Nothobranchius furzeri: one gene and its partners. The protein of the gene in region 1 purifies or fractionates together with the protein of each later gene. This does not show direct contact. Links are inferred from orthologs where the notes say so. Each region holds a gene or a part of one and is shown in the gene's direction. Other genes may lie near its edges. The genes, in order: ncoa6, kmt2cb and wdr5.

What was found.
Region 2: the proteins of ncoa6 (region 1) and kmt2cb purify together in Homo sapiens (co-immunoprecipitation; 7 studies listed by BioGRID and IntAct, with this or other methods). This does not show direct contact. The link is inferred for Nothobranchius furzeri from reciprocal best matches to the Homo sapiens genes NCOA6 and KMT2C.
Region 3: the proteins of ncoa6 (region 1) and wdr5 purify together in Homo sapiens (co-immunoprecipitation; 10 studies listed by BioGRID and IntAct, counting the BioPlex papers as one, with this or other methods). This does not show direct contact. The link is inferred for Nothobranchius furzeri from reciprocal best matches to the Homo sapiens genes NCOA6 and WDR5.

The regions. Positions count from the first base shown.
Region 1 is NC_091755.1:60,747,801-60,751,963, forward strand, and holds the start of ncoa6 (nuclear receptor coactivator 6), read left to right. Parts: upstream 1-1,263; 5' UTR 1,264-1,392; intron 1,393-2,795; 5' UTR 2,796-2,875; coding exon 2,876-3,119; intron 3,120-3,262; coding exon 3,263-3,418; intron 3,419-3,510; coding exon 3,511-3,633; intron 3,634-4,163. UniProt on the Homo sapiens protein: Nuclear receptor coactivator that directly binds nuclear receptors and stimulates the transcriptional activities in a hormone-dependent fashion. Coactivates expression in an agonist- and AF2-dependent manner.
Region 2 is NC_091751.1:52,963,786-52,967,860, reverse strand, and holds the start of kmt2cb (histone-lysine N-methyltransferase 2C), read left to right. Parts: upstream 1-1,167; 5' UTR 1,168-1,188; intron 1,189-3,719; exon of another isoform or gene 3,720-3,946; intron 3,947-4,075. UniProt on the Homo sapiens protein: Histone methyltransferase that catalyzes methyl group transfer from S-adenosyl-L-methionine to the epsilon-amino group of 'Lys-4' of histone H3 (H3K4).
Region 3 is NC_091746.1:41,695,387-41,699,601, forward strand, and holds the start of wdr5 (WD repeat-containing protein 5), read left to right. Parts: upstream 1-1,359; 5' UTR 1,360-1,546; intron 1,547-2,353; 5' UTR 2,354-2,379; coding exon 2,380-2,457; intron 2,458-2,643; coding exon 2,644-2,752; intron 2,753-3,158; coding exon 3,159-3,232; intron 3,233-3,783; coding exon 3,784-3,873; intron 3,874-4,215.

The DNA.
Region 1 (4,163 bases):
ACAGCAGGGATCAAACTCGTAGGATACTAGTGAAAGAAGAAAAGGTGGAATAAAAATGATCAAACTACTACAGTCATCAAAATCTCACAGCAAACTGCCATTTAAATAAAAATCCACTTAGCTTTCTGTGAGTTCACCTCACATCTGTTTGCTCGAGTCACACGGTACAAGGTTTTCAAAGTAAAAGCCCACCCAGCAGTGGCACTAAAGTTAGCTGCAAATGAAATAATGTAATTGCTGAACTTATGAGAGGAATGTTTGAGAGTATTTTCTCTATCACTGTTTAGTCAGAATTTCAGAGGTAAATTATTGAGCAATAAATGAAATCATAAACCAATAATGTAAAATGTACAAAAAAATGCATAGTGTGCAGTACATGCATTAACAGTCAACTTATTTTTTAATGTTTTTTGTCAATTATTCCAAATATTACCAAGGATGTTGCTAGATGACAAGTGAAGAGACTTGCTTTGTCTTTGTCTAACTGTCCTTCCCTTGCTTGTAGTGTGGCATGTAACTGTGATTATGTTGTCTTGCACAGCTGCTGGAGTTTTACCTTCTTTTTGAGAACATGTTAGGTGATAACATACCCAGACAGAGATGTTTAACAGGAATGTGATTTCCACATCTTGGTTTACTACTTTTACTGAGATGGTTTTATTGATTTTAAAGTATTTCTTATATTGTTACTGTTCTTTTTGCATTCTTAATATAGTTTTAGTGGTTTATTTGCTGCTTTTCTTGAAAATCATTAGAATTATTTGAGAGAGGGTCACCCTTGTTCTCTGAATGGGAATTAAAACAGTTTAATGTAAAATCAATTTTTACATCACTGTTTGACTGTAGATGTTTTTATTCCTAAAATCTATATTCAGCCTGGAACTCTTCGGGATGGGTGTCATGTGTTTTTGGTGCAATTAAGCGGAATAATAGAAGTAAAATCGAACACGTTTTTCTCTCACACTAAATTGATCAAATAGGTTTCTAATCTTAGAGTCTTGTCTTGTGTACTGTTAATGCACACATTTGCACACCTGATGTTTGATTATTTTGTGTTTATAATTGAAGGAAAAATCGGTTTTGTTCAAATTTGTGAAATAAAAATGTTTGCACATACCCACATAAGCAGTGTTCCGCAATTTGTCATCATACTTGCATTTAATACAATTTGAAAAATAGATAAAACAGCTCAGTTTATTCAGGACTATTTAGGAAATAGTCATGAACTTGTTAACCTAAGGAGTGCGTTTACCTTTTGAGCTTTTATTTTGAAAAAGAAAACCGGAAACAACCTTTGTTAGTTAGCTTGCTTATGACATTCATCCTATTTTGTTAGCCTGTCTAGCAAACAGATGTCGACTAGTTGAACGTATTCGTATATGGATATGTTTGGTAAGGTCTTTGTATATTCCTTTCTCCTTGTTTTTATTAACGAAAACTGTTGAAAGGCAAATTAAACCAGCTACGGTTCGCTGCTTGGATTCATTCGCGTCTGGAGACTGACATCTAGCTACATAGCTAACTGATGCTAACAGGATTTTTCGGAAAACCAATAGGAACCACTTTCAATTTCACTCTTTCTGTGTGCTGCTAAAACGTATACATTTGAAATGTAAGTGTTAATTGCACCACGATGAAAATGCACAATTTGGTAAGAAACAGAGTTTACTTGTGGATTTTGTTTGAATGTTAGCTTACTGCGTTAAGGCCCACACTCCTGCAGCGCCGGTGACTGAAACCAGGATGATCATCATTATAAAAATATATTATATTATTACTAACAAGTTTAACTCCCATATCAAGAAATCTCACAACTCTGAAAGTAATGTGACTACCAATCAGAGCACCTCTGCTTAATAAGCTAATCACCGGTCAGTGATGTCACCTCCAGGTGTCTGCTTCATTGAGTTACAAACTCATTTATTTGCTTCTTTTTCTGGTTTGCAAATAGAAATTATGACTTTTTTTGCTTGTCTTTGTTTTACTCGAATCGAATGTTATATAGAATACTCTTCAGCCTCTAGCAACTTACTATAACTGTTGTTTCTTGGCTGTGTTCAGGGTTTCTAAAACAATTAAAGAGCAAGTCACCCCCTACAAGAAACTTATTTCACTCCCTCTTCATGTTTGAAAAATGCAACAAATGCTGTTGCCTAGCAGACCGAGAGGGCGGAGCCACTAACAAATACACACACACACACACACAGGCTCACAACGGCACTGTGACATCATAATGTACCAGTTTACATCATAGCATACCTCTTAGCCAATAGCGGTGGCAGATTTAAATTCAAATGCAGTGCAGAGTTTTTACCTGACAACGGCGCAACATTGACAGTTTTAGGCAGAATATTTCAATTTTAACTAAGATGCACTGAAGTACCAAATTATTGACTACACGTGTCTGCAGCACATTTAGACACACATTTATATAGTTTATCAGCAAAAAAAAAAGTAGATTTGGGGGTGACTTGCTCTTTAAGAACTGTCGAAGGTCTCAATATATTAATGGGAAATTAAAAATATTCTAAGATGAGCTGTTATGTTCCCAAAACTTTCCATTTTAAATGCATTCTACGAAATTGTAGAAAATTGGGAACCCATAGCGTAAGCAGCTTTTTACTTTAAGCTGAAACAGTTTATAGAAAAAGCATAATTTATCAAATAATTATTAAATTAATCAATACCATAGACTTTTCTGGGCAGTACATACATTTGAGATAGGCAAAGTATGGAATAATAGTATTTGATAAGAAAATGCTGTAATCTAAAGTTTGAATAATCTGTAATTACAGCATAAAACGGTTTAGACACCACTCCTAACAAGGAAGGGAGGATAGCTGCTGAACATTCCTCATCCCAGAAGACTGCGTACATGGAGCCTGATGGTGAATCGGACAGAGACTCTGGTGTTGGAGAAGATTCTGGAGAAGACGCAGATAGCTCTGAGAAATGCAACGTAACAGAAGAAGTTGGACCCATGGAGCAAGAAGACACTAGAGAAAATGGAGAGGAGGACTTCACAGTCTTTGTTGCCTTTCAAGGAAACATGGATGATGAGAACTTCACTCAAAAACTAGAAACTATCCTCAATGGGATACCTGATGTTCTTAATTTGGGTTTGTGTTTATTTTTATTCAATTTGTTTTGTTACTTTGTTTTATTTGAGCTCATTTACGTGTATTTGATTCAAAAATATATATCTTGCACTGACCTGTTAAGCATTTTCCAACCAACACTAACTAAATACACTTTATTTTAGGCCCAGAACGGCTGCAGCCTAAACATGTTGAGCCGTGGAACAGTGTCCGTGTCACATTCAACATTCCCCGGGATGCTGCTGAGCGACTCCGGTTGTTGGCCCAAAACAACCAGCAGCAGCTCAGAGACCTGGGTATTCTCTCTGTGCAAATAGAAGGTAATAGCTCAGTCCAAAAAGAATTCATGCAGATCTCCTCCTTTTGTCTTCATAAAAATTCATTTATGCAATGATTTAATCTTGGTGTTCAGGAGAGGGAGCAATTAATGTGGCTGTGGGACCAAACAGAGGACAAGAAGTCAGAGTGAATGGACCAATTGGTGCACCTGGTCAGATGAGAATGGATGGTGGCTTTCCAGGTCAGCCTGGCCCAGGTAAGTTTTTCCAAAAGTTTAACAAAAAAATTAACAGTACTCTAGTCTACTAGTAGAGATTTTGGCTTTACTGTCCAAACGTGATCACACATGAATGCTGTCGAAAGCAGCAGCAGCTTCAGCGCAGAGCAAGTTGATGAGAAGACGAAGACATAATTTATACTGGCCTGGTTTAGGTTTAAGGAGTCTGATGCTGAGCAGAAAAACATCCTCTGTAAAATATTCTGGGCGACAGTGAAGTCATATCAACGCTTGTTAACGCTAACGCTAATTCCCTTATATGCCATTAGCTTCTAACATATTATTAACACGCAGGTTTCCAAACTTTCATCACAGTAAGCTTGTATTTTATTTTAAAATTTCTTCATCTTTATTTGGTTCATGTGAATTTTTGTGTTGCATTGTTTCTAACAATGTTTAACATAAATATTACTTGATATTTTGTATTTTTTTAATTAGTTTTGAACATTAAATGTTATTTAAATGGTATTCTATATTTCTCCTTTTGACATAAACAGAAGAAAAAAAAT
Region 2 (4,075 bases), on another chromosome or scaffold:
ATACTGAAATCTCCTAGAGTTATATGTCAAAGATTTGGTTTCAAACTAGAAAAATATAATGAATCTGCGTCTAAAGCGTTTTCGCTTTAATGTCATTTACCCAGTGTGTTGGTGCCAGGGGCGTGTCCAGAGAGTGGCCTGGATAGCACATGTCACCCTTGGAATATTATTGGCCACCCTGCTGAGTTCCATTAAAGATAACTACATCATCCACAAAAGGACAAGACCTGGACGTGCCACTGGTTCATTTTTGCAGGTGATTATTTTTAAAATGCATGAAAAATAAAAGCTTTCATTATTCAACATAAAAGAAACATGAGCTTTGATTTAAAAAAATATATTTTTATAGCATATTTACTCTGCAATGGGTCACCCACAGTTGCACTTAAGACATTTTTGAACTTATCCATATTATGATAAAATTTCCATTAGACATATTTTTTATCTTGTTCATTGTTATTATTAGTAGTAGTAGTGGTGGTGTTATATTATTATTATTATTATTATTATTATTATTATTATTATTATTAGTAGTAGTAGTAGAAGTAGTAGTAGTAGTAGTAGTAGTAGTAGTAGTAGTAGTAGCAGTAGCGGTTTTAGGCACGGGCAGACAGGGCAGTTGCCCGGGGCGGCATTTTTTCATGACACAAAAGGGGCGCACAAGCGCTGAGTAAAAAAAAAAGAAAAAAGAAACCTGCGCCGCACCGAGGTTTTCTATTATCTGTCATATGACAGTGTCTGGATTGGAAACAGCAAGTTGGCGCCCCCTGCAGCTGCAGGCGCTCCGTGCACCGTGTGTGTGTGTATGGAGAACAGGAAGGGGAGGGGTGCGGCGGGAGAATTCACCTCTGGGTGGGTCCAAATGAAATGAGCTAGGGGCTGAATCAACTGTATCAACATGTTTAAAGTCGATCACATCTTGATGTTCTTCCATATTTCATTCATAATATCATAAACACAGGCCTATCATTCTTTCAGGTGTTTCTGAATTGTGTGAAATGGCCAAATAAAAAAGGAAAAACAAAACGATTTTGTGTTCACCCCCCCATCAAGGTCAAATAGTTTAGTCCTGACTAAAGGAAACTTATTGAGTCAAGAGCCAAACAGAAGAGATGAACATAAAAAGGCTAAAACCACCAGGTGCCCGATTCAGGAAAAAAAAAAAGAAAAAAGAGGAGAAAGATAAAGGTATGTTCGCTCTCATGATGCATGTTTTCAATTTTTTGAACCAGTTAACTGGGATTTTAACGGTTAAATTTGGTCAACTAATTGCTAACAGAGCTAATAGGGCTGAAATATTTAAACGAATATTCAAATGGTTCGAAAAAATTCCTTGAATCGTTTTTACTGATTCAAACTAGGATTTGTTAAATGCTCACTGCAGCCTGTGGCCCGCCTGAACAACAATAAACACATGTTGATCATGTTCACATAATAATAAATAAAACAACTCTACAAGCAGAAGAGAACTCCCCAGTCACCACTAACTATCCTGTTTATTTATTGCAGATGGCTCTACTGATTATTTTTTACATGATTTGTTCTGTAAAAGTTGGCATTTTTGGTAGTCTACAGTTTTTTTATGTCAGTTTAAATTACAATTTCAGAGGCAATTGTAAAATATTATGGATCATGATAAAGATCTATTGGAGATCTACCCCAACTTTTGGACTGCTCTGCCAGTCACTGTGGCTCAAGCTGAGAGGAGCTTTTCAAAACTTGATCAAGTCATACCTGAGGTCACCTATGTTTCAGGGGCGGCTCATTCACCTGGCTCTGATTAGTATCAATCACTCAGTAGGGGAGCAGATTTCATGTGATGACATTATTGATGACTTTGCATCAAGGTTAGGTTTTAATTTTAGTTTGTGTTTTCTGTTCTAAGTGCAGTGCTGTATAGTGATTATCTTTAGTTTGTTATGTGTTAAATATTTTTGCTATTTAGAATATTTATTATATATTATGTGCATATATTCTTAATATTTAGTTAGTTTAGTTGTTTTTGTATATTTGATTCTATATATTTTGATACAGTGTATAATGTATAGTGCTTTACATTCTGACAACTTCATAGTAATTAATGTAAATATGTGCAACTTAGAAAAATGAATGTTCAATAGTCGTTCTAATAAAACCTGCCTGTTTGTAGAAAACGTGTGTTCGTGCAGGTGGGGCGGTGTGGTGGTGGTGGGGGCGGTTGGGGGGGGGCGCTCAAAGGGGGCCTCGCCCGGGGAGTAATTCCATGTAGAACCGCCACTGAGTAGTAGTAGTAGTAGTAGTGGTGTTTATTTATTCGTTTAAAATTTCGTAATCAAGTAAAAAGTCAATATTTTGCATTGGCCAGCAGGTGGCGCGCATAGCTTAGGAAAGAAGTGCCATGGTTCATGCAAAGAATCGTTGACGTTTACCTACATTATTATCATTAACACTAATAATGTGGGCGTCTCACGAAGGAAATAAATAAAATGTGATTGACTGAGTAATTGAAACGCAGAACTTGTGATAATACACAACATTTTTGTTTATTTCTCATGCATGTGCAGGCTGAAAGACAACCCCTGGGGACCTTTAGGAAAGTTAACCCCTGCATGTGCAGCGTGTCTGGCAGTATGCAGGTTCCTTAAAATGCAATGCCTGGTTTGCAAAGGTATTGTGTGTTGTTTGTGAGTGTACGTGCGCGCGCCCATGAGTTCACGTTTGTTGCTGTGGGGGGTAGGGGGGGAGTGGGAGGGGGAGGGGGGGGAGATAAAATGAGGACGCTGTGGTGTCCCTGCCAGCATGAGGTAACATTGCGCGAGGTCTAAAACACCACCACTAATGCCAACTATCAGTACTCATATTTTTTAAAGAAACCTGGAAAGCTGACAGTGAGTTTCTTTGCTTCTTTTGGGAAAACATTTGCATAAACTGGAGCGTTCATTGTTGACCGTTCCTCTCCAAAAACTCCAGAATCCGCCTTTTCGCACTTACCCTGGCCATTATTTTATTTACTAAATGCTCATATCAATCCGCAGGGTCAGAGAGTATTTTGAAGAAATCGTAAAACGACTTGGGTGCAATTTATTGATGCCTGTGTTTTATCCGTGCGCTTATATATTTGCCAAACTCTTGAAATACTAATTTTAAATAAACCACGACGATGTGAAAATACGTGTCTGCTGTAGTTCTGCTCGGACGAGGTGGATCTAGTTTTTTTAAGAGCCTAGGGGGAGGAGGGTCTGTGCTTCGGTGCCACTTATCATTAGATATGGCCACCGTTATAGAGTACGCCGAAGCGTCATCCTCAACTTAATTTTATGATTTTTCTCATATATTTTTCAGCTCACATCGTTCGGCGGACACACTGTTATTTTGGGCAAGCTAATGTTTGTTTCTACACGTTTTTGGAGCCGGTTGTTACTGCGTGGCAGGCTGGTTGCGAGAGTCTCCTAACTGGCCGCTTCTGCTTGTCGCAGCTGAAGAAAATAGAACCAGTTGCCAAGCCAGCGGTCGGAACCGAACGTTTCCTTCTCCTCGTCGTTACACGTTCCTCAAGAATTTGAAGTTTTATCCACCGATTGGTTGCTCTTCTTTTTTGACAGCCACATGTGTTTTGGCTCTTGTTTGTTTTCATGTTAATGATCAAATTTTTGGGTGGCTAACATCAACTAGCTGTGTTACCCGAACTCGACAGCTGTCATTGGAGAAAAAGGAAAGTGATCTCCGCAAATGCCAGTGAAGCGGTTTTCTTTTGGATTTACATCAACGGCTTTTCCATCAAATGGGCAAAGTTGGGAATATCATTGCAACGCTGGGATATAATGATATGCGCTGTGCATTTTTGAGAACTGCGGTCTTGTTTCATTGGAGAGAAGCTAGCTGCTAGCTGGCTGGTTGATAAAACGTTTCATCCCCCCATTATTTTGGGACATGAAGAGGACAATTCGCTGTCCATAGGGCTGGGAAGGTAATATACAATGTCAACTTTCATTTCTTTTCATGCAAGCTTAGATTTAGCCTGACATTGGCCTTTTTAGAGAGTCAGAGCCAACACTATCTTCCATTCTAATGCTGAAGGGGGTGTTTGTCGCCACCT
Region 3 (4,215 bases), on another chromosome or scaffold:
AATCTGGCGGACGTGACAACGTGCACGTTAGCCACAAGAACAGAACACGAGACAAAGCTCAGTTTAAAGTTAGAAGACATTTGTCAACATGATTTCAGATTCCCGAAATAACTTGTAAAAGCTTTTCATAAGCGGTGACGCAGAAGATATCGTCAAATACTTTTCGTTTACAGTGAAAAACGTGGCGTAATGTACGAATGAGACTAAATGACTAAATAAGCGAGATGGTTTTACTCAAAATGTATTAAAATGTAGGTTTGGACAAAGCGACATGATTGGCTTTAAAACGTTTCAAATACTTATCGTGAAATAAAAACACAAGTATGCACGATGTTCGTTAGCATAAAGTTAGCTAGCTGGTTTGGTAAGGGACACTGCAGCGGATGACAACACACTTTGTGACACCGACTGTTGATATAAGTTTCGAAATACCAACTACAGGTTTTGGTTAAGTAACGTTTGCTTTAATTTGGGGCAAAATGTAGCGCCAATAAATAAGCTTGAATTAAATTATCATATAACGAAGCGAAGAAGTCCGCTTCTTTAAACACCTATTGTTGTTATGGAGGAGGCTAACCGCTAAGTAATGAGTAAAAATAAGAAAATAACAACAGAAGTGTTTACCAACTCATTTAAGAGGGCGTGTTGACATGGGAGCTTGACGCTGCACGGCTTGGAAGAAAGCTCACCGAAGCCAAAACAAACTAGTGAACACCAGAGTGCAGTGTGTTCAAAAAGAACTAGAAACTTCTTCCCCGACCTATTGCAGCCACGGCTGAAGGGACAGGTCTGGTGCTCATAGCGCCATCTGTTGAGCCGGAGAATCCAAAGCGCGTTCACAGCTGATTTATGGTAAAAGTGTGAAATCTGCATTTCACAAAATCATATTTATAATTGTGGAAAGTATTGAGCTAAAAAGTAAATGGTTAGGGTTATATAAATAAATGCAAGTGATTTACTATGAAAATATCACAGTCAGTAGTTCATAACTACATAAAGCATAAAATAAGGTTACGACGTATTAAAGATATGTAATTTGTTTGTTTTATTTAGATTTTTGTTTGCTGTGTGTTTGTTTCTGTTTCATGTAGACTTTTCCTTTTTGCATATTGATTGACTCTGACAGCCACAGCCTGGTTTTTAAATGGCTACTGCCTTTCATTGAAATTTAGATGAAGTATTTCACATAATGTACTTCTACAAATTCTCTGTTGAGAATTTTTGTCATTTTAAATTTAAAAAATACAAACTTGTAATAAATAAGATTAATTAAAACTATTGGGCTCTTTTCAAACGGCAGTCGAAACGATTTTTTCATAATTGTCCCTCATTAGTTCCCGTCACTTTTGAACGTCATGCGCCTGCGCAAACTGTAAGCACATTCCCCGCTTCACCTCGCAGCTCGTTCCTTTACCAGGCAAACATCCTCAAGCAAATAGCTTGATTTGTTCTTTGTTCTATCTCTCTTTAGTTATTATACGGACTGTTTTAGATTTCCAGGATTTGCAAGGAGTACCAGTCTGACTGTAGATCTAAATTGATCAACGTAAGTATCGGTGTAAAACCGAATCTTCATTGTTTCAATGGAGGCCCCCTTCGTGGCTGCATAACTTGTCAACAGCATCAACTGCATGTCAAAACTGCGATTAGCTTCTTCATATAACTGTGGCGTTCATGCCAAAATACATTTTATTCCGCGAGACAGCCTCTAATCTATAGATCTTCACGTTGTTTTGTTCGAAGGTAACCCAAGTATATTCAGGTGTTGAACTTTACAGCGAACGTACTCGTTCTCCCTTTGTTTGCTTTTATTTTTCGCATAAATAATAATTCGAAGCAAAAACGAGCTGGTGTCAATGCATTTGAAGGCAACACAAGATGGTAAACGGTAACCGGACAAGGGGGTTGGCCTCAATCGGTTTTCATAGTAAGAGCAATTTAACGTTAGCTAACTTCAGCTAGCTGCATTAGCTAATTTTATAGCTAAACGGACCCTAAACGGGCATTTAAATACTTTTGAGCATCACAGCCTATTAATAAGCCTAATTAAAGTAAAATTTACATGATATATACTTAATTTATCTTATTTAAAGTAAACCCCACTGTTTATTTTAGATCACAGTAAAGGAAGCTAATGCTAACAGATAAAACAATAGTTTTTAATCACGTTTACCTTAATGGTGGTTATTAGCAGTCATCGAGCTGGAGGGTTTATCTTATTTCTCCAAACTTTAAAATTCCGGGTGTTAGAAATTGTAAAATTTCCACCCAATAACTTATCCCAGTTGTTTAATCTTTAGGTTTAACTTGCCTGATTTATTAACTTTTTTTATGGTTTCTTCTTTTGTCTCAGGTGCAATAGATGCTGATTTCCTCACCATGGCAACAGAGGACAAGAAACCAGAGACTGACACCAAGCCTCCAGTTGTCCCATCAGCCTCTGCTAGCCAAAGCAAGGTCTGACAAACCCAAGTTTTGGCATTGCCTGTAATCTCCCACCCTGTCCTCTTATGATAGTTTAATTCTAAGTTTTTGTTAAGGACTGTCAATATTCCAGCATTATTTCGGATTTTTTCTTTCTTTATTGAAAGTATTTCATCATGTTTATTCATTTGCTAAATTAGAACTGGTTTTCTTTTGCAGACTGCACCTGCAAAACCAAACTACAGTTTGAAATTCACACTAGCGGGACACACTAAGGCTGTGTCCTCGGTTAAATTCAGTCCAAGTGGAGAATGGCTCGCCAGCTCGTGTAAGCATCTCATTTTGAATCATATCTTGTTTAAATCTCAGCTACCTCAACATAAATCTTCTTTCATTCCATAATAAAATGTATTGGGTTTTGTGAAACTATGTTTGATCCAGAGCTTTTTTTAAAGTTTGATAAAACACTTGTACTGCATAGATGAAGTGTATTTTGTGCTCTAAGTTAAATGTAAATAACAATAATAGCAGTGCTTTAGTGACTAAATATTCTTATGCAATTGTGAAATTTTTATTGGTTTTAGTATTTATCTTTGGGTACACTCGTTTCATTTGAATATCTGATCAGCTGAAATGATTGAAATGGGGAAATTATATATTTTTTACCATTTTGCAACTTTTCAGTCATTTTTTTTCTCTTTTTCATGATGTCTTTTTCATTGTTTGTGTTACAGCTGCTGATAAACTCATCAAAATCTGGGGCGCTTATGATGGCAAGTTTGAGAAAACCATTTCTGGACACAAACTTGTGAGTAGAAGGGACCCTTACCTGTGGCACTGTTGTGTTTCTGCCTGCAGGACTGTATTAGGTAGAGTTTCACCGCTTTTACTAAAACATCAAAGACTCCTCCCACCCTGGTCATTACTGTTTTGGACTCTTGCCGTCCAGTTGGTGCAAACAATCCCCTTCCCCACAGCAGTAAACTAAATGTACTAAAACCCTCTCATGCGCATTAGAGCAAAAACCTCAGTCACCAGTGCAATAAGTCTAATATAAAGTGAATACATTTACTGCTGCTACATATCTAGTAAACATGTACTTCTGTTTATATATTTATATCTGTTCTTTTTTTCTTCTGTTATTCCAAACACACCATTTGAGTGCCATGCAGCAGCAGAGGGTATTCACATGCAGTGAATAATAAAAACTTTGAGTCTGATCTGTTTGGTCGTTCAAAGCAAGAACAAGATTGTATTTACATTTTTAGAAGATAAACATGAGAAATGACTCCATTGTTTACTCTTGTATCATTTTATGTCCTTGAAGCCTTGAGATCTTAGAATTTCTTTATTTTCCAGGGAATATCTGATGTGGCCTGGTCATCTGACTCCAACCTTCTTGTTTCTGCGTCGGATGACAAAACTCTGAAGATCTGGGACGTTAACTCGGTAAGAATGTTTTAAGGTGTGGTTCATTGAAAAACCTTTTTTAATGATTATTTTAGTTACTCTGAGGTTTTTCATGCAGGCTGAACATGACAAAAGTCTCCTATCTTCTGGATTAGCTAGAAAATAGATGGTGAAAGTCTAGGGTTAGAAAATCCTGACAGATCCACGTTACACTGTCACTAAACATTCATGGGCTCACCCATCTTGGCTCATGACGAGGACGGCTATTGTTGGTTTAGCGTCCAGAAAACAGCATAGAACATCTCGGCTGGTAGAAGCTAACCGTTAGCATTAGCAACTCCACCACACAGCAGAAGCTCATTCAGGCTTGTGTTAGTTGTG